Linked DNA regions of Arabidopsis thaliana. The protein of the gene in region 3 interacts with the protein of the main gene of each other region in a pairwise test. Each region holds a gene or a part of one and is shown on either strand. Other genes may lie near its edges.

Region 1 (7,137 bases), on a different chromosome or scaffold from region 3:
CTAATATGAAATCGTTATCTAGCATTCTTGATTCACAATAGTACTGATTGAGAAGATCGGTGTTCTCATTTCTCTATGAAAGTAGCCTCCAATAAACCTAATAACTCAACCATACAAATCCAACGTTGTCCACTCATGTAGAGATAAATGTGCAACGGCGGAGAACAAAGCAGTAGAATTTGAGTAAGAAGATAATAAGTTTTTCTACAGTGGAATTTGAGTAACATGTCTTTGTGTTAGTATGAAAATATGAAATCAAGTATATATATTTCCTGTTTATTACTTGTATTGTACCGGTTTTAGTTTGGATGGTGATCCACAACAACACTACTAATAAAAGCTACAAAAATATAAGTCTAGTTTATGTAAAAATGATTTTTTGAGTTTCATTGTAGCATTCAATGTTCAATAAATCGGTTTAGGCGGCGACTAGACACCCGCTTAGGAGTTCATGAACCTTCGAATGCCCAATTTTAAGTAAAATTAGCCGCTTAAGTGTCTGATTTGTTTTATACAAAACATAATTTTCAGTAAGTCAAAAACATTAATCAAAAATAAAATAAAAAATACTTGATTACTAAAATTGTAAATTATGAATTAACTATTTTCAAAAAATTTAGTTTTTTTTTGTTAAAATGTTTTTAGGACTGAACTATTCTAGTTTTCATATAAACCAAGTGTGAATATATATAATAAATTCAAATAGATGACATTTATAACTTTATATATTTTATAACCAATGTTTTGATATAAAATTATGAAAAATAAAATAAAAATGAATAAATAATATGTTAACGTTTAGGCCTCGCTACTCTCTTTGAGTATTGGTATTATTACCAAAGTCAAATATCATAAGCTTCTCTAAAATTAATTTGATCAATGAAAAAAAGAATTAGTGGTTCATATGAAAGAAAAGCATTAACAAGACATATGACTGTGACTGATATAATTGTTCTTACGAATAGCAAAACAATCAAATTTGAAAATAAAGTCAACGATGAAGTGCACTAACCACAAACTCATTTAGAAGTGCTACATTTGTGCAAATCACTGAGTCCCATTTGATAAGACTAATTTGACAGCTGATGTCGAATATCTAAAGAAAATTAATACTCTTTTAGATGTAGGGAAGAGGGAATTAGAATATGAATACTAACATTTAAGAAAAAAAATTAACTTCATATAAAGTGAGAACTATATATATTTTGTAGCAATACATGTATTGTATTTTATATATCAGAAAAATAAAACACATAAATTGCAAATACAAAAATAAATCTTGGTTTTAGTTTATGAAACTTTACTATAAAATAAAATAGTGTGGATAAATTTGGAGCTCAAAGATAAATAAAATTAGATGTTAGTAAAAAAAAAATTTACAAATACGAGTTAACAGAGCTCACAATTCTCAAAAGAAGTTTGCTAAAATTCAAATTTTTATGCGTCACATTCTTTTATTATCTTTCCTTCGTTTGGGTAGCTATGTTAGCATCTACCTCTATTAGAAGTATGAGACTATAAATTTGTCAAACTCTATTTTGCTCACTACATAAATGTTCTCCTTTCTCTCTATCTCATCCACTCTTGCTCCACATGTATTTGATATGCCCTCTATTTCGGTAAGGTGAGGTTTATTTATCTACTCTTCCTACTCACCAGTCTTCTTTATACGTTATTATATGTATGTTACAAAAAAATCGAAAACAAAAAAAATATATATATGTAGTTACATTTTTTTTTTGTTCTTCTAGTATTTAATCTGTAAGAATATTGTAGAAGACACTATTGCGATTAGTCTAAAGCTTATCCAGATTTACACACTTTCATGTTTTAAAGATAATAACCATCATTTGAGATTCCACTTTGTGTGGTTAAAGGTTCTTTATCGTAATTATCACTTATAGACTTTGGTACTAAGTGCTAACAATAAACAAATCAAGATTTTGCGTAGAGACGAAATATCTTGAAGGTCAAAGTAGAAACACACACATAAGAATGTATTTGTTTTGAACAAGCACACACAAATAAGAGAATCCAAAGTCTTACAACACAAATTAGTAAAAAGACTAAAGAGTTTTCAAACACATCAGTAAATAAAACTTAAACATTGGAACTGTGCATAGTGTTTTTTTTTTGTCTTGAGCATCTTCGTTTCAAACCCGCTCTTTGTTCTTCGATTTCTCCACTGCACCTGGAGCTGCCACAGAATAAATCAACAATGAAATGAGCCATTGAGTTTGTATTCAGATTAGGGGGAAAGATGTTGGAAAACTTACCTAAGCCAATAGAATCAGAACCCTTCATGATCTTCAGTTTCTGGCATGTTTCAGTAAATATCCTGCAAATAGGTTTTAACAAGGATTCAACTTTTGAACGGAAACAAAACCACAGTTATTAAAGCTGAGAGTTCCAAAAGAAGCTTACTCCCATGGAACATCGCCAACAAGCATCCAATCACCGTCTTTATCTTCATAAGTAAGCACAAATTCTGATCCATGAAGAAGATCCTTCAGTTTAATCTCGCTCATTCTTTCCCTCCCTTGAGCACCATGAAGACCACATTGACCTGAGATCACAAACAAGAATCGAAATCACTGTTCTTTGGTTCATTCTGTTTTACAGTAGAATCAATGATTAGCTTAAATACATAGTAAATTCTCACCAAGGGTGAAGCAGCTGAACATTTTCTCAAGTGCAGAAGACAACTGTTGATAGGAAGTGTAAGTTCTCAAGTCGACCTTTCTCAGATACGGAGCACCATCCATGCTCACCTTCACAAACAGAACACCAAGACCAGGTTTCCCATCAACCTCATCAGTGTTCTTCGAAGTAGAAGAAGCCATTGTATTCTTCCGGTATGATCTGATTGGAGGCCAACCAACAACCTGTGCCCTGCAAAACAATAGACACAGATTACCACAAGATTCGTTCTTGACTCATAAACAAACTCATAAACAAACTCATAAACAAATCATCATATAATACACACTTGGCAGCTGGTGCATTGTTCAAGCCACCCTTAGCATGAGATCTTTCTTCTTGAATACTCTTCGAGACATCCTTAACTTTCGGCGACAACATCATGTTGATTCCTCCTCCAGGTCTAACAGATCCTTTCACACCCGAAAACTCATCCCAAGTGTCAGCAAATCCTCTCTTGTTACCAGAAACAACATTCTTATGCCCTGTAGTAGCAGAACCATTGTCTTTAGAAGGTAGCAACGGGAAGAGAAGCTTCTCATCGGGTGTTCTCGGACTCAGCAAACCGAAATCAGTCTCTCTCTCAGGAGATTGAGACTCAGGAAGACCTAGCCTCAGTTCAGTAGCTTTGAAATTGAGATTGCTCTTCCCAACAACATTGGGAATAGTTGAGCTATCAACAGAGGAACAATCAGAGAGACCCAAGTAGTTACGTTCTTTCAAACAAGGTGACGTAACCAGTTCATCCTTATCCACACTTAGCAATCGATAAGACATCAGATCTTCAATATGCAGGACTTGTTTTATCTGCTTAGCATCACAACAACAAGAAGAACAACCCAAAATCAATCTAATTACATAAAAATCTTCACTTTCTATAGATGCATGAACAAAATTCTCAATTTTAAGAAGAACCCAGAAAAATTAGGGTTTCAGATGAGAATTGGGTTAGATTTGCTTAACAAGTAAGATAAAGTTAGAAACTTTAACCTAGGTTTCATAGCCAGAATTCAACCTTATCGTTCCCAGAACTCATCTTCCCCAAAATCAATCACTTTCCATTCAAAAACCAAAAATTTCTTACTCTAACTTCTTCAGCATTTCCCTAAAATTCAGAATCACAACTAAATCACTTACTTACGAGAAAAATAAACTAAACCCAAATGATAATGAATCCAAAGAAGCTACAAGAACCAAACAAACAAACCCAGATTGAAAATTGAAACTAGAGAAGGAGGTTTCAATAGTTCCTTTTAGAGAAATTGAAACTAGTACCTGAAGAGAGAAGAAGAACAGAGTACGCAGAGGATCAAACAAACACTAGAAAGAGAGAGGATAGTGAGAGAGAGAAAATGCACGAAGGGAAGCAGAGAGGTCAAGGTCCGTCCATGGAAAATGAACCAGAGAAAGCTAACAAAAGCGCAACAATCAAGAAGAAGAGAGAAACAAAAACATGGAAGGAGTGGTAAATTTAGTAATAAACTACAAAAGTAAGGGTATTAAGGATAGATTAGGTTTGTTCGTATGTGGTGTGGAGTACTGTAGTTAGATCTGACGGTTGAGAATGAGTAAGTGAGAGTGATTCTGAGTCGTTAGATCTAATGGAGAAATAATAATAAATACATGTCGTTGTTATAGGTAACATGGTTTCAGGTTTCTGTTTTGTAAGGAAGCTTAAAAAAACATGAAAATATTATTAATTTTAATTTGATTTATATATTTGAAATGACTTTTTTTTGTCTCTGTTATTCTTTTTATTTTATTTTGTAGGTCCACAAATAACATGCGTGTGTTTATTATATTTTATTAAAATTATTATATGGTTTTAGCAATAAGTAAAATCAAATCAGATTGTTTTATGGTATATTTTCTTTTGTTGTTGTTAAAATGATTTAGATAGAAATGGGACCATCCAATATTTAAGAGGCTGAGTGGTCTAAAATACCTATAAATTTAATATGTTTTCCATTATAATCAGAGTTTCAATAGTTATGGGACCACGTATCGGTTTAAATTTTGTCTGTCTAAAAATATGCATACCGCCAATGAAAATTACAATGGATAAAAAAAAAGTAAGACAGAGCATTTAACAAGTGGTAAAAAATGAAAATTTACGAAAAAGAGTGTTAAATATTCTTCTACTCGTTTATAATTATGGGCTGAGAGCAATTAGCAAAGGAGAGTGATGATACGAGAGAGACAAGAAAGCAGCAATTGAACTTTGTTTTGCCGGCTGCTTAATATGCTCTACTTTTGGTGTGGTATAGTTATGAAATGTACAATAATAGATACCATAATTTAAGTAGACTCACAACAAAAATCAATGTATAATTATTTAGTTAAACTAGTGAGGAGATTGCACGAGGAACAAAATTCTAAGAACACAATCAATGTGAAAATGAGAGCAAATGAAAATAGAAGTGAAGAGTTGTATATTTGAAGAAGAAGGTCATGATCAAAGAGACACGTTGGAAGCACGCTTAAAGAGAAGGGAAACAACCAAATCAGGCTTTGCAGCTTCACTGTTGTTCACATGCCTGTCACCTAATTCCATCATCACCCGCGCTCTTCCTTTCTTTCACATCATACGTCACCGTCCCGTAGCTATACCATTTATCACCCTCTTGTCTCCCACTCTTTTTATTGTTCTTGTTTCTTTTTTTTATGTTCATTTTTTTCTCACTCGAAGGTTAGATTATATTAGAGAACCCATTATATTACTAAGATTTTTTTTAATGTTCATTACTTCATGTTTTTTTGTCTCTATAAACAAAATTCATTCTGTTGTTACTAGGGGTGTCAAAATGGGTAACCCAACCCAACCCAACTCATAATCAAATGAGTTTATGATTAAATGAGTTATGGGTTGACCCAACTCATTTTGTTAAATGAGTTGGGTCTAACCCATAACTCATTTCATTTGATGGGTTGAGTTGTTAAATGGGTTAACCATTTAAATAATAATTTAATTAATTATTATTATAAAACAATAATAAATAATTATCATCATCATTAATTCATTATTATTAAATTTGAGATATTTATTGATTCAGAAATTTTTACGAGTTTACATTTTTAGACGGTAAAATTACGAGGTTACGTTTTGTGACGGGAAAATCACGGGGTCATGTTTTTTTGGCGGGAAAATCACGAGGTTACGTTTTTTTGGCGGGAAAATCACGAGGTTATTCTCATCTTCTAGTGTAAAGTAATCCCACATATCTGATGTTCTACTTCTTTTAAAACGAGAAGCACTTACTAAACTTTTAGATTGTGATGTATCTGCTGATGTTTGCCCACCTTCACCACCATAAGTACATTCGTCTTCATTGTCCATTTTTTGTAAAAGATCAGCTGCAAATAACTATACATAGAAATAAGGCCAAGTTAGAGATTGCTTAATAAAACCTGTTATTAGCCAAATACAAGAATTAATCACATAGACACAGTCAAAGAATCAATAAAACAAAGAGAAAAGAAGACTGTTTTGGACAATACGACAAGCATATGACTAAATACGATTTTTGTTAGCTCACATCAAAACAAAGAGAAGGATATGACAATACGGCAAGCATATATCTTCTTTCAGCTTAAACCCTTTACCGAAACAAACACATAACAATTTGGCAATCACATCAAAACTATCAGAAGTAACTAATCCCAGAACTCAAACTTCATCGCTCAAGTACCACAAACTAGAAGAAGACTAGTCTATTAAAGGTAGAGCCATTCAAATAAAGTGAAAATTAACCATATAAACAAGCTTCAGAACTCTAGAGCAACATTGAATACGCTTCTACCATCACTTAAGTTAGATCCTGAACATGATTAAGAGCTAAACAACACTAACGCATACAGAATCTGAACTTTCACGCCAATTCGAATGAAGAAAACGAAAAAGTAGTTAGAAATGAGAAGGGTCCAGTGGAAACATACCTCACCCTTTTGACCCACTACAAGCACATCATCATCGTCGTCTTCAATTGAAGCAGTCTTCGTCGTCTTGTCAGTCTCCGATGTGGATGAGACCGGTGGAGAGTATAGGTCGAAGTGGAGGTCGAGAAACGATTGATTTTGTAAATTTGGGGATGATTTTATTAAATTGGTTTAGATGTGTTGGTTAAATATTGGTTTAGAAATTTTAGTTGGTTTAATTCAATTTTACAAAATTTGATGGGTTAATTGGGTAAACCACTAAAACCATTAACCCATTACAACCCAACTCATTTTACTCATCAAACCAATTGACTCATCAACTCATTTGACCCATCAACTCATTTGAGTCAAAAATTTCAACCCATTAGGGTTCATGGGTTGAGTTGAGTTGAGTTGACCCATGAATTTTGACCCATTTTGACACCCCTAGTTGTTACACAGTTGATTTTATTGGTAATATGCATAATAATAGCGGAATGACATTTTCTAACGTAATTATAC
Region 2 (6,696 bases), on a different chromosome or scaffold from region 3:
GGAGGTGATGATGATGATTTGAGATGGAAACAAAAGATTATATTCTTAATTGGTAAAGATAAAAATTTCATCAGCATACGGTATATTTTTGAAGAAAAAAAGTTTGAAAGAAAGTTGTGAGACACAAAATTTATAGGAGAATTTTTAAATTTTAAATTTTATTTACTAATTTTAAATTCATTATTTCTTTTAAAATAATGTTTTTTTACCTATCTCGACATAATTGAGTTTTTCTTTGGATCATCAATTAGTAGAGGTAATCGGACCATTTTCCAAGTTGGATTAACGGGTCAGCGAATGTTCAACCTCTGATAGACTGATACTATGTTAAGTTTCATAGATTACTAATTCCAAAACCAATTGACAATAAGTAAAAACTCATATAAATATATATATATATATATATATATATATATATTTATATTAATGAAGTCTAAAGTCGTTTTCACCATCTGAGTTCGAGTAGTATTAGCCACCAAAATTTAAGTAATTTAACATGGTTTTTCCATACTCCATAATCAATTTTTGGGTGTATGAAATTTTTAAAATTATATGAGTTATAAAAAAATAAAGTATCTTTCTCCCTACTATCTTTACTCTAAATACTATTTTAAGATATTACTCGAGTTAATTACATGTTATACCGAAATAATTCATGAACATAACAAGATTACAGTTCATGAAATAAATGGTTTGTCTTTTGTGAAATAAACAATTGGTACTCATGTGTGTTACAAAACAACAATTTTTTTTGGATGGTGTTATAAAACTCGAACCCACCAAACTTGGATAGCCTCTTGTATCTATTTCTCTATTATTTCGGGTAATCTTTACTCATACATAGTAAACAGGCTCTCTGGATTTTTACCTCTCTGAAAAAAACATAAAATGAGTCGGTTTGATTTCGCTAATTAAATACCATTTTCCCTACTAAAAAACGAAACGAAGGCATGAATCATATCAGGCATTGTAATCAACTTACGTGCTTACACTATTTTTATACACACGATAACATACTAACCCCCGATTTCTTAAACGAACAGCATATTTACAACCAAAACAAGAAATAACATAGCAAGCAAAAACCTAGTACATAAGTGAAAAAGAAAACCAGTAAATCAAAGCCAAACCCCATTAGTTTCCACAAAAATTACATTAAAAACAAACCATCGAACTGATGATTTTGGCCAACCTCTCTCTATTCCTTGCCATGTTTTCTAGCTGTGAAAAAATAAATAAATATATAAGTTAATTTCAAGGCAGTAATTAAGTGATGAGATGTATGAAAAAGTTTCGTAAGAATTGTAATCTTACGTGAGAGTGAGAAGGCGTGGGAGGTCTTTAAAACATGCAACCTCTTTACAGTAGATACAAACATCCTAACAAATAAAGTAAACTATATCATTAATATGTCCAATGATTCAAATTATTATCAGATAAATATCCAAAAATATGACCTTTAAAGGAAAATAATAATCTGATGAGAAATGGCCAAACTCTTTTTAGGAACTCATACTAAAAATATTTGTTAAATTCGACAAAAACAAAAGTAGATAGATATAAAATGAATTTTTGATAAAGTAAGTTCATATTCAGTTCCAGAAAAAAAAATGGAATTAGTTTTGTTTGATTTAAAACTTACTCCCAAGGAACATCCCCGACCAGAACTTTATCTCCTTCAGTGTCTTCGTAGACCAAAGTGTATTGTCTGTTTAGATCCCACGAATCTTTCTTAGAGAAGAGTTGGTCAACGGCATGTGAAAGCTGTTGGTAGTTGTTATAAGCTGAAAGGTTGACTTTTCTTCCTATTGGAACTCCTTCCATGTTGATCTTAACGTACAATTCCTTCTCTTCATCACTCTCCTTCTTCTTCATCTCCTCCTTTAGTTGTGCCGTTAGGTTTCTCCGGGATGATCTCACCGGCGGCCATCCCACCACTGGAGCTACCTCAACCCTGTTTTAGCCATATCTAGTTATAACATATACACAAATACTTTTTGATAACTAGATACCGAAACCCAAACTAATCTCCGAAAACTGTAGAATTACCAGGATTTTGTTTTTTATTTTTATTTTATTATCATATAAGACATCTACAATGAACAAGAATGATTCAAATCATTCATGAGAAGAGATTAAGAGAACCTGTTATTGGAAAGGAATGATGTTTCTTTGGTCGAGCTTTTTTGTTTAGATCCATTGATGTTGTTGTTGGAAGTGAATTGGTGACAAGGAGGAGCTAGCCTTAGCTCCAATCTCTTTTCTTCTTCCATTTTTCTAAGTTTGTGTTGTGTTTTTGGTGTTGGGGAGTATTATTATATGGGTGGTTGGCAAGGAACTACAATCCCAATCTTTTTATAAAAGTAGTCTCTTTATATTTTCTAATGAAAAGAGATTTTATTTTGAATTAATAACCACCTAACAGATCCTACTTGTATGGTTTCCGTATGTCAAAAATGCGTTTACATACGTGTATGATTCTACGAATGTGATGCGGATTGATGGGAGACACACATATATTATTTACAACGATTACTATTATATAAAGAGAATAAATTTATATGATGATCATTAGAAAAATCCAATAGACTAATTTAGAGTTATAGGTAGGTGGTTATCAAATTAAAAACCCACTTAGAATATATGGTAACATGGTTCATAGCCGTGTGGGGTCTCATACTACCGAATAACTCTGATTAATTACAAAACATATGATTCCAAAAATCTTAGATGTAATCACCAAATTATTACGCTGTCTAGACGTGTCCATTATCATTCTAATTCGATCCAAAAAGATGTGGGTAACCGAAAATTACCAAAGAACTAAAATGCTACCATAGCACCAAAGTCAAAATGAATATCCAACACATACACATAAACCAATTTAAACAAAGAGATATATAAATAACAGTGATTAGTAATACCCCTTTATTAGCTAGTGACATGAATTAAAATCATATTGAAAAATGAAAATGAATGCTATTCTTACTTAGAAAATGAAAACTATAATCATATAAACTATGTACAATTGCTTCTCTTATGCATGACATTTGTAACACATGTATTTTAGAAAATTCATGTATGTCACCGTGACTCATGAGACAAAGAAATGTATCATGCATGGTTGTGTCATCATGTGATCATCAACATAGTCATCATATGATCATCTCCACACCCATTCTTGGAGAGTAGAGGCCGACATAGAAAAGGAAACAAGAAAGAGGAAAGAGATTCCTAGGCATGCTTAAATGAGTACCTACCAATAAAAGGAGTAAAGTAGTAGGTTTTCGTTTACTAACCTTCTTCTGTTTATTTTTATTTGATATATAAGTACTGCAAATATTAATTGTATGTATACTTAGAATTCCACTACAAATTCTCTCTTTTTTCACGAAAAGTCCACTACCAACTTGGTTTTTGTTACTCTAATTTGGCCTCCATAATGTTTGTCCTTTTTTTCAAGTTACATAATCGATTGATTTACGGAAATTGCCAACCCATGAAAAGTCATCTTAAACATAATCAAGTATAACTTTAGAAATATATCAAGATGGTTTAAGGATCTTTCAACTCAATCTTAAAAAAACTTAATAGCTATGGCATATAATCAAATAAGCTGTAATTTGATTAGTGAAAATAACTAAAATGGGTCAACGCTCAAAATACTACAAATAAAACTGTTGAAATAGACACATAAAATTTGTGGCTATTTCACAGTTTCTTATAGTTGAATTGGTTTATACTTATCTTGTGTCTTTTGTCTAGAAATTTGTGGCAATCTAGAAATTCTCTTTTGTCTTTTGACCTTTTTTCATGGGTCATCACCTATTTGTTTTATTCTTTTTAACTCGGGGCAAAACAATTTCTTCAGCCGATTTATATTAATTAACCGAGAGTCCGAGACCAATATACCATGACTAATCATCACACTAATAATGACAGAGCTTATAGTGTAATTTTTACTTGATTCTGACCCTGCACATACGTGTATATAAATATAATGGAATACATTTTTAGTTAAAAATATTATAGTGTATAAATTATAATATGCATAGAACAGTGTACAGTGTTAATTATGATAAAATAGCTAACTTTTTTTATTAATTTATATTATTTATATTTTATTTATATTTTGCATGGTAAATATATTGTTAGATTTGTTTGGATTTGCTGAATATATAGAGATATTTGGAAAATCTGTGTATTTTTGTTAGTTTGATGTATATATAAATTGATTGTTTTTGTTTGAAATTTGATCAATTAGATGATATAATGTAAATTTAACTCCGCGGTACACCGTTGGTCGATTTTTTGTAACTAAAAATTCAAATTTTAAGATATAGTTGTTTTGTAAATATTGTTTATTTTGTTTAGTGTTTAAGATTATATAATTATGTTATAGTTATTAATTCTAAGATTTTACTCGTAGATTATCGTCCCGTATTAATATCAACCCAAACTCGTTCCACCATATAACTTCATTCCGTAAAATGAAAATCATTTTGTTATTTTTAAATATTGTTATTCTAATATATATAAAAATCGACGGATCGACATGTGGTACATCTTGGATTAATATATTTAAAAATAATTTGTGATTTACAAATTTATGATATTGTAGTATATAAAACCAATTTTTAGTGTATACCTTTCAATAAGATGTAGTTTTTATAATTAAAGTATAATAGTATTTGGTCTTTATGTTAAATAATAGTATTTGGTTTTTTTATAAACTATTAAATTAGTTGATTTTAGTTAAAAATAAAAAATTAAATTAAGTTATATTTGTTTTGTTTATTGTTTAAGATTGTATAACTATAATCTAGTTTCTTATAATCTAGTGTTGACCCTGAAACAAAAATCCATAAGAATACGCATAGATGGATAGTAATATTAGAAGATAAACATCATTAGAATATGAAGTACTTTACTTATGAATCTCTATATATTGTTTTAAAGAATCGATATTCTAGATTGATTGTGAGGCAATGTGAATGTATGCATAACATTTATAATTATAAGAGATGGATTGTACGGAAAATTAGATTTTAATTTGGATTCAATCTTAGCTTTACTGAATAAACTAATCTGAATTGCGTTTTTTTTCAATCTAAAATTTACTATAATCTCAACAATTTTGGTATTTTTTGATCAAACTTATCCTTATGCATTATCGCAAATATGGTAGTTATTATTGTTCGAATACAATTATTGATCTGTCAAAATAATCATATTACTATTTGTTCTTAAAAAAAAGTCATTCAAATTTAAAAGAAAAAATATTTTTGGTGTGAATCAATATTTTCTCATTTTGAATATTTGCATTAAAAATTTTAAACATTGGTATTTTAAACTCTGTTTTATTGTTTAAAAAAAAATCAAATCTAGAAGAATGAATATTCTAAAAGCTTGTATCTATTATAATACGTTTAAAAATATATTTTCTTTCATATAATTCAAATTTAGCTTAGCGATATATTTTTAAAATAATGAAAATTACATGTTTAAAAAAATCCTTTAAAAGTTTATATCATTTAAATTCTAATTAAAATGTTAAATATTTGAATCTATACTGATAATATCTTCTAGATATTTACAAATCTAAAATCCAAAAATTATCTTTTGAATATGCTAAATCATAACTAAAATCGTATTTTTATGTGTACTAATGAGAAACAATTAACATAGTTTTGTTAAAGAAATTGTTTAAAATCTAAACTAAATGATAATTTGTTATTAAATTAGATTAAAGTTTCCGAATTATCTAATAACATATTACCAAAATAAATAAATTTTCATATATACAATTCGAATTAAAATAGCCTGATATGTTATGGAAATGTTTTTAAATGATTTCCAAAAATATCGGGTAGTTATGAATTTATTGATTTTAAATTCAATTTTTTAAAAGAACAAAATCCAAGATATTTATTTAGTTGTTGTAGTTGTTAATTTACTAAATTACCTATGCAAAGATTCATTTAGTTAATTTTAAACTACTCTTAGAATGTTGTAGTTCATACAATGCTTTCCAATTAATAATATAGATTAGTTTGTTGTCTTGTTATAACTCGAATTTAGTTTAGAAATATGTGTGTTACTTTGTTAACAACATAAAATAATTTATATGATGCGTAGGTTAATGCTAACTAATCTGAGAAACTAAATTTATCTATGCTCAATCATACATTATCTAATAATTTTAGAAAAATATATGTACGAATCAATATATAATATATTTCAAAACATTTTGGTAGAAATAATGTATAAATAATACAAATTTTCAAATTAAGAGTTATATAAATTTTATCAGCTTTTTGTTAGCTAAACAATATAAAAAGAATTTTAAACATCTAAAATCCAATTAACTTAAACATTTTATCAACGTAATTTTAGACGGATAAATCTCTATATTGTTATTTTTATAGCAAAACAAATAAAAATAAAAATAAAAATAAAATGGCAAATAATATGTTCCAAAAGAAGAAGTTATGATGAACATCTTGGTACTAAACTACTAATACTCGGTACACATTTAGGCATGCCTCTCATTTTGAAAGAAAAAGGTTAAGAACCAGTATAGATGTTCAATGAATGTATAACCATTCTAACAAAAAGAAATCAAACAATCATCATTATCATAAATAACTTTGCTACTAATAGAGGGCCACCACTTGCAAATTTACCTTTTTATCT
Region 3 (9,464 bases):
ACGTGTGGATTCAGTGTGGGGGAGGGAAGGGTAATTGCGTGTAGCGATGGAACACCGTAAGTACTGTGAAAGAGACCAATGGAAGAAGCCCTACTCTCTCGTTTTTAGTATTATGTCACGTCCCATCTCCAACTCATGTGAGTGCCCACTCGTAATTTTGATCCAACGGCTACGATTCATTCCTTGTTTTCATAACCATCATCGTACACCGCTCACTTCCTTTCTTTCTAGGGACAACCATACACTGTCCTATTCTTCTTCTTCTTACGCATATAATAGTATCTACATAACTATTTTGACGTCGAAAATCTATCCTATACGTATTTTAATAATATATATTACCCGTCAATTCAACTTTGTATATATCGCCGACAGAAATATATTAATACATATTCGTATATACATACCGGCTGTTCTTAATAAAGAAAGATTTCGCTTTTGAGAATCTTGTGACCCAATTCAAAACGTATAGAGTGGTGTGATAGCTAGTTAAAAGAATTTGACCATTCACAAATTCGTTTTGGTTCATATCAAAATTGATTTCCATTGCAATACGAATACGAGAATGACAAAAGTCAATGAATGATTTTGTAAGCAGAATTGATCAAGTATGACTAAGAAGCACTATTTTGGCCGCCAGGAAACTATGTTAGGAACATCATTACAAAAATTACAAATCTACGCTTTGTTATATACATGACATATAATCGATGATGCCTTCAAAATTAGTTTCATATTGAAACATAACAAAAATTAATAGTTTAACATGATAATTGACATATGTTGATTATACTAAATAAATTATTTGTAAAATAGGGGGGAGAGAGAAATATGAAGTAACAAAAACAAAAAAGAAAAGAAATGAGAAGATGTCTCTAAAAGCGAATTTTTAATTATTTATTACTCACCTAGTCACCTTATTTGTCATTTTTAATTTTTTATGTTAAGTAATTCTGAAATCTTCCATTGTTTTCACTAAATTCACCCATAATTCTATATATCCATTTTTTAAAACATAACTTGTGAAATCTAGTGTATATAATAACTAATAACTGTTATATTTTTATATTTGTTTGTGTGGGAAAATGTTAAGTAATAACTGTTATTTTGTATAACATGTTCTCTGTATATAATAAACAAGCACTAGGGTACTAGCTATAAGCTACGTTTCTAATTTGTCGCAAATTTTTAAGGTTTTGCTTAAGAATTAGTTGCATAAACAAATGCTAGTTGGATACTTTTGATGCTGATGTTTTATGTACGTATATCACTTTCTTGCATAAAAACACATTAGCCGAATTTTCTAGCAACTGACAATAATGCAACTGAATTTAATACAAATAAATAAATAAAATCTACAAAAGATATGGCGATGGTACTGATCTATTTGTATATAATGCTGTTTCCAACGTTACCCTTGTTTACGTCAAGAAGTTGCACGTGCCTTCTTAGGGCAGTCTTGTCATTTCCCCTAGGTAAATGATCACTATCTCCATTGTTTGGAATCAAAATTCATGTTCTCTAAATTTTTTTCTTTCTTTCGGATAAAATTATCTAATTAAAATTTATTGGAATCTTAAGAAAAAACACGTATATTCTTTATTACAATATATAGCTGAAGAAATCAGATTCGCAAATTTCCAAACGAGGAAGTGTGTATTATACATATATATTACCAATTATACCCTCTTCTACATGCAATTCGAACTACTATTATATACATAAAAAAAAAAAAAATAGAATCAGGAAACCCTAAAAGCACGTCCTGTCATTTTTATCAGGTGATTTCACTGTCTATATATATTGACTTATTGCTATATTCTATATAAAATAAATTTTGCTGTAATTCGCACACTTCCATTTTCACATTACACAATCAAATAATGAGGCAAAATAAAATAGCCAATGAAAGAGTACTTATGTACTCCAAACAGAACTTTTAAACCTTGACCAGTAAACCAAAGGATTTCTACAGCAATGATATTTTTCCTAAAACAAATTGATTCATTTTATTTGCAATAGTTCACTAAAACTCTAGTATAAAAAAGCCTTTGGTCATCCACTAGCTGAAAAAAATCTACAACAACACATAATTTTTATAAAACTACTATGACAAAGAAAAAAAAAAGAGTAAGAAATACGATCATGTAATACTATAATATATGATGGTACCATAACGTATTATTATTTTTTTTTTTTTCCTTTGTACCATAACGTATTATTAAAACCATAATAGTACTCAATTTTAATTACATGGACGACGCAACGAAGTTTTGAAATTCGGGAGAAGCATAAATTAAAAAAAGGCACGAGTCCCAAACTGTAAATAAAAAGGAAATAAGGGGTAAATTAGTAAATTAAGTGTCCTTTCAGAACAACAAGTTGCTTTAGAAGAAAATCAAAGACCCGCTCCGTTCGGGTTCGGGTCAAAAAACAGCCATTGTCGTTCTTTCTTCTTCTTCTGATTCTCATTTCAAATAAGAGAGAGAGAGAGAGAAGTAAGTAAAACTTTAGCAGAGAGAAGAATAAACAAATAATTATAGCACCGTCACGTCGCCGCCGTATTTCGTTACCGGAAAAAAAAAATCATTCTTCAACATAAAAATAAAAACAGTCTCTTTCTTTCTATCTTTGTCTATCTTTGATTATTCTCTGTGTACCCATGTTCTGCAACAGTTGAGCAAGTGCATGCCCCATATCTCTCTGTTTCTCATTTCCCGATCTTTGCATTAATCATATACTTCGCCTGAGATCTCGATTAAGCCAGCTTATAGAAGAAGAAACGGCACCAGCTTCTGTCGTTTTAGTTAGCTCGAGATCTGTGTTTCTTTTTTTCTTGGCTTCTGAGCTTTTGGCGGTGGTGGGTTTTTCTGGAGAAACCCAAACGACTATCAAAGTTTTGTTTTTTACAATTTTAAGTGGGAGTTATGAGTGGGGTGGATTAAGTAAGTTACAAGTATGAAGGAGTTGAAGATTCGAAGAAGCGGTTTTGAAGTCGGCGAGACCAAGATTGCGAGCTTATTTGGCTGATGATTTATTTCAGGGAAGAAGAAATAAATCTGTTTTTTTTAGGGTTTTTAGATTTGGTTGGTGAATGGGTGGGAGGTGGAGGGAAACAGTTAAAAAAGTTATGCTTTTAGTGTCTCTTCTTCATAATTACATTTGGGCATCTTGAAATCTTTGGATCTTTGAAGAAACAAAGTTGTGTTTTTTTTTTTGTTCTTTGTTGTTTGCTTTTTAAGTTAGAATAAAAAATGAGATTATCTTCAGCTGGGTTTAATCCTCAACCTCATGAAGGTAATTCTCTCTTTTCTCTCTCTATTGCTTTGATACTTCTAGCAAATAGTGATTTTAAACTAACTTTGTGAGTTTTGGATTGAAAGTTACAGGAGAGAAAAGAGTTCTTAATTCTGAGCTCTGGCATGCTTGTGCTGGTCCTCTTGTCTCACTACCTCCTGTTGGAAGCAGAGTTGTGTATTTTCCTCAAGGTCACAGTGAACAGGTTTTTGTCTCCTTCCTTTTATGATTTGGATTCAAATCTTTCCTTTTTGGTTACAGGTTACTTGAGAATGTTTTGTGGTTTTCAGGTTGCTGCTTCGACCAACAAAGAAGTAGATGCTCATATACCAAATTATCCGAGCTTGCATCCGCAGCTTATCTGTCAGCTTCATAATGTTACAATGCATGTAAGGAACTCACTATCAGTTTTTATGACAAACTTTTCTAAGTGTCTTTTCTGTTTGTGTGTTAGTTAAGAACTTGATTCCTTACCATTTCAGGCTGATGTGGAGACTGATGAAGTCTATGCACAGATGACTTTGCAACCGTTGAATGCGGTATGAGACTTTACTATGTAATTCATAATTAATTTTGTGGAATTTGTCGGTGTTTTGAACCTTCTTTGCTTGGTTTGAATGCAGCAAGAGCAAAAAGATCCTTACCTTCCCGCGGAATTAGGTGTCCCAAGTAGACAGCCTACAAACTATTTCTGTAAAACTCTGACTGCTAGTGATACAAGCACTCACGGAGGTTTTTCTGTACCTCGCCGAGCTGCTGAGAAAGTTTTCCCTCCCTTGGTAATTCATCTTATTGTTCATATGAATTCTACTTTCAAGATTAGCTATTGCCTCCTTAACAATAAAATTTTATGTGTTCTTCAGGATTACTCGCAGCAGCCACCAGCTCAAGAGTTAATGGCGAGGGATCTGCATGATAATGAATGGAAGTTCAGGCATATTTTCCGAGGTTAGCTTTCTTCGTGAAAAATCCAAGTTCTTATTAATAGCTGAAGAACAAAGAGATTTATTTAATCTGTATTTGTTTCTGCGTTATAGGCCAACCAAAGAGACATCTCCTTACCACGGGTTGGAGCGTATTTGTGAGTGCTAAAAGGCTTGTTGCTGGTGACTCTGTTCTTTTCATCTGGTTAGAAACATCTTTCAAATTGGGGTTTTTGTTTAAGTGTTACATTCAAATCATGAAACTGACTCAAGTATTTGTAATGCTAGGAACGATAAGAATCAATTACTTCTTGGTATAAGACGAGCCAACCGACCACAAACTGTCATGCCTTCATCTGTTTTGTCAAGTGACAGTATGCATTTAGGCCTTCTTGCTGCAGCAGCTCATGCTGCCGCTACAAACAGCCGATTCACCATCTTCTATAACCCGAGGTATCGTCTTAAGTACCTTATGAATGCACTTATGTGTTGATTCTCTTCGTTTTGCATCAAACGGATTCGGTTTTTCTGCAGGGCGAGTCCATCAGAGTTTGTTATACCCCTGGCTAAGTATGTGAAAGCGGTTTATCACACTCGCGTCTCTGTTGGTATGCGGTTTAGGATGCTGTTTGAAACTGAAGAATCTAGTGTTCGTCGGTAGGTGAATTATCAGAGTTCCTATAATTTACTCTGCTTTTTGCTGCTGAATGTCCTTAAGAATCTTCGTTTGTTGTCAGGTACATGGGTACAATAACTGGCATTTGTGATCTAGATCCTACTCGTTGGGCTAATTCGCATTGGCGATCTGTCAAGGTTTAGCTCAAAACCAAACCTTTAGTAGAAAATATTCATTGGTCTTTGCATTCTCGTATACATATATCATTCATCATCTGATCAAAATGCAGGTTGGGTGGGACGAATCTACTGCAGGAGAGAGACAGCCAAGGGTTTCATTGTGGGAGATTGAGCCTTTAACAACATTCCCTATGTATCCATCTCCTTTTCCTCTCAGGCTTAAACGGCCGTGGCCTCCTGGTCTCCCATCTTTCCATGGTATTGTAAATTTCAAAACTTTAACAAATCTCTGAAAGGTTTCTATTTCTAGTCTTTTATATCTTCTAATTTTGGTTGCAGGCCTTAAAGAAGATGATATGGGTATGAGTATGAGTTCACCGCTTATGTGGGATCGAGGACTCCAATCTCTAAACTTTCAAGGTATGGGAGTAAACCCGTGGATGCAGCCGAGACTTGATACGTCGGGCTTGCTTGGTATGCAAAATGATGTGTACCAAGCAATGGCTGCAGCTGCCCTTCAAGACATGAGAGGCATTGATCCTGCAAAAGCTGCTGCTTCACTTCTTCAGTTCCAAAATTCGCCGGGGTTCTCAATGCAATCTCCGTCCTTAGTGCAGCCGCAGATGCTGCAGCAGCAACTCTCTCAGCAGCAGCAACAACTCTCTCAGCAGCAGCAGCAGCAGCAACAGCTCTCCCAACAGCAGCAGCAACAGCTCTCTCAACAGCAGCAGCAGCAGCTCTCTCAACAGCAGCAGCAACAACTCTCTCAGCAGCAGCAGCAACAGGCGTATCTTGGCGTTCCTGAAACCCACCAGCCTCAGTCTCAGGCTCAATCACAGTCAAACAATCATCTTTCTCAGCAGCAGCAGCAAGTAGTGGATAATCATAATCCGTCTGCGTCCAGTGCTGCTGTTGTTTCCGCTATGTCTCAATTTGGTTCTGCTTCTCAGCCCAACACGTCACCACTCCAGTCCATGACCTCTCTGTGTCATCAGCAAAGCTTCTCCGATACCAACGGAGGAAACAATCCTATTTCTCCACTTCACACTCTTCTCAGTAACTTCTCTCAAGACGAATCTTCTCAACTGCTCCACCTCACTAGAACAAACTCTGCAATGACTTCATCCGGTTGGCCATCAAAGCGTCCTGCAGTTGATTCATCGTTCCAGCACTCTGGAGCCGGTAATAATAACACTCAATCCGTATTGGAGCAACTGGGACAGTCCCACACAAGCAACGTTCCTCCAAACGCTGTCTCGTTGCCTCCATTTCCCGGTGGTAGAGAGTGCTCGATCGAGCAAGAAGGAAGCGCCTCAGACCCGCATAGCCATCTTCTCTTTGGAGTCAATATAGATTCATCTTCTCTTTTGATGCCGAACGGAATGTCAAACCTTAGAAGCATTGGTATTGAAGGTGGTGACTCCACGACTTTACCCTTCACATCATCTAATTTCAACAATGATTTCTCGGGTAATCTTGCAATGACAACACCTTCTAGTTGCATAGATGAATCGGGTTTTCTACAATCCTCAGAAAACCTCGGTTCCGAGAACCCACAATCTAACACCTTTGTGAAGGTAAAGTTTTATTTCTTTTCCCTACCCAAAATGTTCTTCTTGTTTGCATGCATAGCGATGATTCCGGAAATGTTTTTGTAGGTGTACAAGTCAGGGTCTTTTGGAAGATCGTTAGATATATCAAAGTTTAGCAGCTACCACGAGCTGCGAAGCGAGCTTGCTCGCATGTTTGGCCTCGAAGGCCAATTAGAAGACCCTGTGAGATCAGGCTGGCAGCTTGTATTTGTTGACCGAGAGAACGACGTTCTTCTCCTCGGCGATGACCCTTGGCCGTGAGTTTATTAACTTATCCCTCATTTCCGCATTTGGTTTTGTCCATTTCCATGTTTATTTACCTGCATTTACCATTATCGACAGGGAGTTTGTGAGCAGCGTGTGGTGCATTAAGATACTGTCACCACAAGAAGTGCAACAAATGGGAAAAAGAGGCCTTGAGCTTCTCAACTCCGCGCCATCTTCCAACAATGTCGATAAGCTCCCGAGCAACGGGAACTGTGACGACTTTGGGAACCGGTCAGACCCGAGGAATCTCGGTAACGGTATCGCATCAGTTGGGGGTTCATTCAACTACTAGAAGTAGATGGAAACCTCCCTTTTTATTCAAGTTAAGTTTCAATCTTATAAATTAGTAGTGAGATCATCTTAGTTTAATTACTAGCAAAAATCTCTCTTTATTACTTATAAAAAAGGGAGATTTGCCTTTGCCTTTGATGGAAACAAAAACTATATAATCCCTCTGTCGACTCGTAATACTGTAATTATAAGATCTTTTGGTCTTTTTCTTATATGAATATTTTTACTGAACTCTATATATGTCACTTTCCTTACTCATTTCTTCAATCAATATGATAGTGAAGGGTTATTTTGGAGTTACATTAAGACTTTGTCTGACTAAAATGGTCCACAGAGAAAGTGATTTGGGTCCCAATCTCCTTATTGGAAGTGAAAGCGTTTTGTGGTTTTGTTGTGTGAAACACCAAAATATTCCGACCCGCAATTTGGGGCTTTACCCTAAAATTAGATCTCATTTTGCGTCAGCAAAAACTTTATCTCTAGACACGTATCGATCCGTAGTTCGTAGGACATTTTTATTGGTAGGTAAATTAATATATGCCCTTATCGTTTATAGTAAGTTTTTTTTTTCACAATATCGTTTATAGTAAGTTTAGTTTTCACCAAAGAATATGAAACGAAATTTGTAGAATGAGTATGGTTTTTGTTTGCGTCTTCATGTTAAGATAATTAGAATATTATAACATGGTAAAAAAGGAAATCTAACTCCTATTAACTTGAGAAAATAAACGTCATTTCGATAATTGATCGAAATTGTTGTGAATTTGGAAAATATCTTGCAATATAACTTTTTCTTGTTCGGTTTTATCGGAATGGGATTAGGTAAGTTATGAAATGGGCATCATTTGAATAGTATAAGAAGAATTTATGATTTAGTTTGGTATTTGATATTATTTTTGTTTGGTTGTCCATTAGGATATATATATAATAGAGTGACCAATTAATTGAAGACCATGTTTTATATATGATATTTAGTCAAAGAAATAACAAATCTGATAAAGAGATATTTGTAAGTATTTGGTTTTGATGTGTGGTGTATGAATGTGACTCACATAAATCTTTAGTGGTGGGACTATATATTCTAAGTAAGAAATTGGAAATGGTTGAAAATAATGTTGGGTGCATGTGGTAGGGACATTTATAGATGACACAAGTTAGGGCACTTTCATGAGCCCTAATTAAATAGTGCATGGTGACCCATCATTCTGAAAGTTCTCACCTTCTTTCTTTTCTTTTCTTTTTACCTTTTTTTCTTCTTTTAAAAGGTATTTCTTCATCTTACAAAATCAATTATTAATTTTAGTTTCATAGGATGTAGTAGCCATTCATTACATGGTTAAGAATATATTCAAATGAAGATCTAAGATCATAGCTTTTGTCTACTACACATAGAATCGTATGTCTTTTCTTGATAGATGTCATAACTATATAATTTCAATCTTATTAGAATTTCATGACTTTAATATCTAGAATTCTTGTTTGTTTAATTTGGGATTAAGTAGCTGAAAGTGGACGAATAAAACTCTTTGAGTTCATTAATTCAAAAACATGCATGAGTGCATTACTCTATAATTAAAATTATTTTCATTGATGAATATACATTGGAAGAGGACATGATCAGTCCATTGTGATAAGATCTTATATATAGCCGTAATTTGATCTTAAAAGGAAAACGTTTCAAGCTTCAATAATTTTGTTGATCGAATGGATAACTTGTTTTAAAGTTTGCTATTGAAGACCTTACCTTTATCTAGTAGTACTATCTCTAATTCGGTCTCATTACCAAGTAGAAATAATCAAATGATATTTGCACTGTTAGTTCCATAAATCCAGTGTTCAGAATCAGAGTACCACCGTAGTAGAATGGAAATAATATCCTAAATTTCTATATCTAGATGTATAAAATTTAAAATGAATATAACCAAAACAAGCTTTTAGCGATAAGGGTTTTGAGTGGATATGTGAAATTTGTTATTGTGCGACTATCTTTCTCATTTATCTCTTTTAAAAACGACGAACAGAAAACGTCAAATGTGATATTATTGATTGTCTAAGCACTTTTTGAACAAAGTAAATATAAAGGCACTTTTTGAGTTGTAAGACCAAAGAAAAAAATAAAATTCTTTGGACCATCCTTTCGTTGTACTAACTACTCTGTTACCATTTCACTGAGTGATCCCTTTTAACATATGTAATTCTATTTTGTAAGGATGGTTTCCATGCGATGGTACAACCATGCATTGTTAACGAACGATCCAATCTAGAATATTATATGTCATAACTTCCACAAAACTACACA
Region 4 (6,379 bases), on a different chromosome or scaffold from region 3:
CCTTAACCGGAGTACTACCAGAGAGCATCGGAACATCTCCAGCTCTGGAACTCCTAAACGTCTCATACAACAAGCTCACAGGTCCAGTCCCTATCAACGGCTTTCTCAAAACCATAAATCCAGATGATCTAAGAGGAAACTCCGGTCTCTGCGGCGGCGTTCTACCACCGTGTAGTAAATTCCAAAGAGCAACATCGAGTCACAGTAGCCTCCACGGGAAACGAATTGTCGCCGGATGGTTGATTGGGATAGCATCGGTTCTAGCTCTAGGGATTCTCACCATTGTTACGAGAACTCTGTACAAGAAATGGTATTCTAACGGATTCTGCGGCGACGAGACGGCGAGCAAAGGTGAATGGCCTTGGAGATTAATGGCGTTTCATAGATTAGGGTTTACAGCTTCCGATATCTTGGCATGTATCAAAGAATCAAACATGATCGGAATGGGAGCAACCGGAATCGTGTACAAAGCAGAAATGTCACGATCAAGCACAGTTCTCGCCGTGAAGAAGCTCTGGAGATCTGCCGCGGATATTGAAGATGGAACCACCGGAGATTTCGTAGGCGAAGTTAACCTCCTCGGGAAATTGAGACACAGAAACATAGTGAGGCTCCTAGGGTTCTTATACAACGACAAAAACATGATGATCGTATATGAATTCATGCTCAACGGAAACCTTGGTGATGCGATTCACGGCAAAAACGCCGCCGGGAGACTTCTCGTTGATTGGGTTTCGCGTTACAACATCGCGTTAGGTGTAGCTCACGGCCTCGCTTACCTCCACCATGATTGTCATCCTCCGGTGATTCACAGAGACATCAAATCCAACAATATCTTGCTCGACGCGAATCTCGACGCCAGAATCGCCGATTTTGGCCTCGCCAGGATGATGGCGAGGAAGAAAGAAACCGTTTCAATGGTCGCCGGTTCTTACGGTTACATTGCTCCCGGTAAGGTTTAAATACCATACCGATTACTAAATTGATTACAATCCGGTTTAGTCTAACAACATATGGTTGATCATTTGCAGAGTATGGATACACTTTGAAGGTGGATGAGAAGATAGACATATACAGCTACGGCGTCGTACTATTGGAGCTGTTAACCGGAAGAAGACCATTGGAACCGGAGTTTGGAGAATCAGTAGACATTGTGGAGTGGGTGAGAAGGAAGATAAGAGACAACATATCACTAGAAGAAGCATTAGATCCTAACGTAGGAAACTGCAGATATGTGCAAGAAGAGATGCTTTTAGTTCTACAGATTGCTCTTCTCTGCACTACAAAGCTCCCGAAAGACAGACCTTCGATGAGAGATGTGATATCGATGCTCGGAGAGGCTAAACCGAGGAGGAAAAGTAATAGTAATGAAGAGAACACTAGTCGTAGCTTGGCCGAGAAACATTCATCGGTTTTTAGTACTTCACCTGTAAATGGCCTTCTTTAGTATGAGATTTAAGAATCAAAAGAGGCCGATAAACTGATTCGTTCGATTCGTGTTCTGTATGTAGAAGAAAGAGAGAAAGAGAGAGAGATATGTATCTTTTGATTTAATTTTTCCATGTAGAATAAGTTTCCTTTGTTTTACATGATCATATTAACTTTGTGCATTGCTCTGAACCGTTTTGTTTTTGTGCAAGAAAGGGTTTTCTTATAGATTTTTAAAGTGTGATTTACAAAGAGAACATATAACTAACTAAAAGAAAAATGGCAGAGCCAAAAAAGAAACTGTAAAGGGGAGAGAAGAAGAAGAAGCTTCTTACAATGTTTTTGTCTTCTCTTTGATCTGTGATCTGTCTTATTACTGCTTCAAACATAAAGGGTTCTTCGTAGATTATTATTTGCTTCATAATATCATCTGAGCTGTAAACAAGGATCACACAAACACGGTCACAACGACAAAACAATGATTTTAATACAGATATCAGGATTTGATCGAATCAGTAAATGTACCTTTACCAGTAGCCTCCGATGTTTTCATTATCCGGAGCCTTCTCACTGAACCAATAAACATCCTAGACACAAGTAAAACTCAGGTTCAAACTTCAGAATTTGACGCTTACACGGGACAAAGCATCAAAAGCATAAGAACATATGTATGCATACCCCCACGGAACATCGCCAACAAGCATCCAATCTCCTTCCTTGTCTTCATACGTTAGTACTAATCCGGAAGACCCATCTGGTAGTATCTTGACCGGTGTTTCCATGTGACCATCGGTTTCTAGTGTGCGTGAACCTGATTAAAGAAAGAATCATAACTTCATTTCCCATACCAAGAACCAACTTCAAAGGAACCAAAAAAAAGGCCATGAGATTCGAAAAGCACACCTAATTTAGGTTTCAGAAACATTTCCTCTAGAGTGTTTGACAATGATTCATAGCATTTATGAGCATTCAGATCGATTTTCCTTCCAATAGGAATGCCATCCATAGTCACCTTAACAAACATGGAATTTCTCATCTTTGTTGAATCACTTCTATTCTTGTTTACGGCTTGACTTATCTCCAAGTTCGGATCTTCAGTGGCTGAAGCCTTAGCTTGGTTAACCATACTGTTCATTCTGTAAGTCCTTATTGGTGGCCATCCCACAACTTGCCTGCCATTTTCAAAGGTTTCAAATTGCTCAAATAAGAGTAAACACATAAAAAGGGTTATAAACACTTCAGGGCCTTGTAAAATCAGATACCAAGAGAATCACTATACAGGATTAATCACTTTCTCTCCAAAGCTAATAAATACTTTAGAATCCAAGAAGAAAAAAACTGTCATCTCTAGAAAACGATAGTAAGATTCAATTTGAAGATATAATGACCAAAGCAAACTATCTAATGATCAGGAAGATACATTCAAAGTCATCTATACGTAACAAAGGTCGAATCTTTTCAGATAACTGTGATCAAGGACATTCTGTCTAATCAATCCCATAACCATAAAAAGCAAAAATCAAATCTTTATTTATAGTTCTATTGATAATCATGATATTAAGAATCCCCAAATAAACCATAATTGATCAAAATGTAAAAGAGGAAAGGGAAGAGAATTTCACTCACCCACTAGTTGCAGCCATGGAATCAGCTGTCCTCTTGATCCCAGCAATTACGCTAGCTCTGCTCAGAGAAGAAGATGATGAAGAAGAAGAAGAATCATCAGCGTAAACCCTACAATCTCGATACCCTTTGCGACCAAGGCTCAACGTAAGACCAAGCTCAAGCTCATTCCCTATAGGAGAAGAAGAATCCTCACAAGAAACGACGAGATTTTCATCGTTTGACAAAGCCGAAGCCGATCCACTAGCGGAACCGCCTTCCATTTTCGACAAAACCAGAAGCTGAGAATTAAGATTTTGATTGTGAGGGAAGGGAGGAAAAAGAGATGGGTTGAATTTGAAGCAAAGATTGAGACTTTAAGTAAGGCAGAAACAGTGAGAAAGAAAAAGGGAAACAAAGGATGAACAAGAAGACACGACGGGTGGGATTTGTCTCTTTTTCACTTCCCTAACTTTTAGTCTTATTTCTCGCCCAATTTTATCATTTTTTTGATCCAATAATAAATTTCTCACATTATTCCGTGACTATATTTACTAGAAACTCTTTTTTTTTCCTTCTTTTAACAATATCCACTTATGTAAGTTTTTAAAATAAAATATGTGGACTTTTGGTATAATTATTTCAATTTTTCGTAAGTTTATATAGGGAAGTTTTACAATTATGCGAAATTCCGTTGTAATATATTTATAAACTTATAATCAATTAACGATAGGATTAGATGCCAAAAAATATAATGGACAACATGATTTTTCAAAATGTATATTATTGTATTAATGTTCAGATTTTTGTAGTTGGTATTTGACTCCAAAATCTGATATAAGATCGGATAGATTTCAAAGAAAATTTGATATCAAAACGGTAGTATCCGTGGTATTAATAAAAACATTTTTAAAAGGCTGGAAAATAAAATAAAAACAAAATTCATACAAATATATATTTTCAAGAAGTGGGGGCTCACATGTCAGCTTCATGGGATTCAATCGGACGGCTAGAAAAAGATTACTTAGAAGGCTTAGTGGGACCCACGTGTACAGAGAGGGGGGACTCGTGCCCACACGTCCTTTGGTCCATCCATCTTTCCAAATCGGACGGTGCTGATTAGTTCCGGTTTAAAGCTATTGATAGTTAGATACCATCACTATATAGGTTTAATTAGTATTTTAAAATCAAGTGGCAATCTAATCTTTAATCACGTAATTAAAATTGAATTTTTAAGGCAATAAAGGAGTTTAGCTGTCCATTTTTAGTGGTGTCCGAATAAAAACCCTGTCGTCTGGAGGGAAGACATAACCGACCGTTGCTTCTTTTCACTTTCCAAATAAACCGTTCAATTTTTTAATTAATTGCATATAGTAGAAGAGTTGAATTTTCGAAAGAGTCCATGTGAGAGAATGAATACTCTGAGATTCGCTGCGGTGTGTACCACCGTATCTGATTCTCTCAAGCCCAGTTGCAATCAAACCAGTACCGGTTATCTCCGAGATAGCTAATTTCATTATCTTAATAAAAACAGAAAACCAAAACCGGTTATTTCCGAGTTGATATCTTCTTCCTCGTCTTCTTGTTAAGCTACTCTGTAGTACAGAGAGAACAAAACAGAGAATTAAAGAATCGATTTAGACCAAATTGTATGTGATTCGTTCGGACAAGAAGCGATGATGAGGGGATCTCGGTTTCTCCTCTCTCGCGCTTCTCTGTATCACCGTCTTCGCTCTGATCATCACCATCACAGTTTCTCCAGTTTTATCAAACGTAGCTCAATTCAGAGATCACCAGCTATCAATGCATTCTTCACCGATCCATCTCCATCTCCATCTCCAGTCAACGCACGAGTCTTCTTCTTCTCAACTTCAACTTCAACTCCAAATCAAGATCAAACCAAAACAGCATCATCTAAGAAGATCCTCCGCACGATTTCAAGCTATCTATGGATGAAAGACAACCCAGAACTCCGATTCAGAGTCATCGCTGCTTTAGCGTGTCTCATAGGAGCTAAGTTCTTGAATGTTCAAGTTCCTTTCCTCTTCAAATTATCTATCGATTTACTCTCTTCATATTCATCTTCAACAATCACTGATTCAAATCCTTATCTACTTGCTGCTTTCGCTACTCCTTCTTCCGTTCTCATTGGCTATGGCATTGCTCGATCTGGATCTTCAGCTTTTAACGAGCTTCGTACTGCTGTTTTCTCCAAAGTATCTCTCCGCACAATACGATCTGTTTCTCGTAAAGTGCTCTCGCATTTACATGATCTTGATCTTCGTTACCATTTGAATCGAGAAACAGGAGCTTTGAATAGAATCATTGACCGTGGAAGTCGCGCGATTAACACGATCCTCTCTGCTATGGTTTTCAATGTTGTTCCAACGATCTTGGAGATATCAATGGTCACAGGTATATTAGCATACAATTTTGGACCTGTTTTTGCTTTGATCACTTCTCTTTCCGTTGGATCATACATAGCTTTCACATTGGTTGTGACACAGTATAGAACTAAGTTTAGAAAAGCTATGAACCAAGCTGATAATGATGCAAGCACAAGAGCTATTGATTCTCTTGTAAACTACGAGACTGTTAAGTATTTTAACAACGAAGATTACGAAGCGAGAAAGTACGATGATTTACTCGGAAGATATGAAGATGCTGCATTGCAAACTCAGAAGAGTCTTGCGTTTTTAGATTTTGGACAGAGTTTTATATTTAGTACAGCTTTGTCAACATCAATGGTGTTGTGTTCTCAAGGGATTATGAATGGAGAGATGACAGTTGGTGATTTGGTGATGGTGAATGGTCTTCTCTTTCAATTGTCTCTTCCTCTTTACTTTCTCGGTGGTGTTTACCGTGAAACCGTTCAGGGTCTTGTTGATATGAAATCATTGTTCCAGTTGCTAGAGGAGAGATCCGATATTGGAGATAAAGATACAGAGACAAAGCTACCTCCTCTTGTTCTGAGAGGTGGAAGCATCAGTTTTGAGAATGTACATTTTAGTTATCTGCCAGAGAGAAAGATTTTGGATGGGATTTCATTTGAGGTACCGGCAGGGAAAAGTGTAGCGATTGTTGGTAGTAGCGGAAGCGGCAAATCGACGATTCTTAGAATGATTTTCAGGTTCTTTGACACAGATTCTGGTAATGTTAGGATTGATGGTCAAGATATAAAGGAAGTGACACTAGAGAGTCTTCGAAGCTGCATTGGAGTTGTCCCTCAAGATACTGTAAGTTGCCATTTTGACTAGAATTGTTCTCTTACATTTTGTTGTTATTAGTCTAAACCGTGACAAATTAGGTAAAATGTTAGTTATCTACTTAGGGCTTATTGGAAAAATCT

Evidence for each region.
Region 1: the proteins of ARF6 (region 3) and IAA8 interact in a two-hybrid assay, tested with the Arabidopsis thaliana proteins (3 studies listed by BioGRID, with this or other methods).
Region 2: the proteins of ARF6 (region 3) and IAA28 interact in binary tests that used the Arabidopsis thaliana proteins (3 or more experiments, as listed by UniProt).
Region 4: the proteins of ARF6 (region 3) and IAA11 interact in a two-hybrid assay, tested with the Arabidopsis thaliana proteins (2 studies listed by BioGRID).

What each region holds. Positions count from the first base shown.
Region 1 is NC_003071.7:9,633,476-9,640,612, reverse strand, and holds IAA8 (indoleacetic acid-induced protein 8), read right to left. Parts: upstream 4,234-7,137; 5' UTR 3,976-4,233; exon of another isoform or gene 3,806-3,975; 5' UTR 3,737-3,805; coding exon 3,716-3,736; exon of another isoform or gene 3,508-3,715; coding exon 2,990-3,507; intron 2,893-2,989; coding exon 2,663-2,892; intron 2,567-2,662; coding exon 2,425-2,566; intron 2,339-2,424; coding exon 2,277-2,338; intron 2,198-2,276; coding exon 2,154-2,197; 3' UTR 1,868-2,153; downstream 1-1,867. UniProt on the Arabidopsis thaliana protein: Aux/IAA proteins are short-lived transcriptional factors that function as repressors of early auxin response genes at low auxin concentrations.
Region 2 is NC_003076.8:9,029,057-9,035,752, reverse strand, and holds IAA28 (indole-3-acetic acid inducible 28), read right to left. Parts: upstream 2,550-6,696; 5' UTR 2,274-2,549; coding exon 2,146-2,273; intron 1,955-2,145; coding exon 1,643-1,954; intron 1,380-1,642; coding exon 1,315-1,379; intron 1,222-1,314; coding exon 1,199-1,221; 3' UTR 613-1,198; downstream 1-612. UniProt on the Arabidopsis thaliana protein: Aux/IAA proteins are short-lived transcriptional factors that function as repressors of early auxin response genes at low auxin concentrations.
Region 3 is NC_003070.9:10,683,827-10,693,290, reverse strand, and holds ARF6 (auxin response factor 6), read left to right. Parts: upstream 1-2,302; 5' UTR 2,303-3,254; coding exon 3,255-3,297; intron 3,298-3,383; coding exon 3,384-3,502; intron 3,503-3,587; coding exon 3,588-3,686; intron 3,687-3,779; coding exon 3,780-3,836; intron 3,837-3,920; coding exon 3,921-4,076; intron 4,077-4,160; coding exon 4,161-4,245; intron 4,246-4,334; coding exon 4,335-4,425; intron 4,426-4,508; coding exon 4,509-4,673; intron 4,674-4,754; coding exon 4,755-4,877; intron 4,878-4,957; coding exon 4,958-5,033; intron 5,034-5,125; coding exon 5,126-5,273; intron 5,274-5,354; coding exon 5,355-6,592; intron 6,593-6,673; coding exon 6,674-6,864; intron 6,865-6,949; coding exon 6,950-7,166; 3' UTR 7,167-7,469; downstream 7,470-9,464. UniProt on the Arabidopsis thaliana protein: Auxin response factors (ARFs) are transcriptional factors that bind specifically to the DNA sequence 5'-TGTCTC-3' found in the auxin-responsive promoter elements (AuxREs). Seems to act as transcriptional activator.
Region 4 is NC_003075.7:14,139,223-14,145,601, reverse strand, and holds IAA11 (indole-3-acetic acid inducible 11), read right to left. Parts: upstream 3,468-6,379; 5' UTR 3,315-3,467; coding exon 3,055-3,314; intron 2,601-3,054; coding exon 2,332-2,600; intron 2,240-2,331; coding exon 2,107-2,239; intron 2,016-2,106; coding exon 1,954-2,015; coding exon of another isoform or gene 1,925-1,953; exon of another isoform or gene 1,864-1,924; coding exon of another isoform or gene 1,859-1,863; coding exon 1,674-1,858; 3' UTR 1,633-1,673; downstream 1-1,632. Other genes in the region: AT4G28650 (Leucine-rich repeat transmembrane protein kinase family protein), read left to right, coding at 1-951, 1,032-1,447; ABCB23 (ABC transporter of the mitochondrion 1), read left to right, coding at 4,707-6,266. UniProt on the Arabidopsis thaliana protein: Aux/IAA proteins are short-lived transcriptional factors that function as repressors of early auxin response genes at low auxin concentrations.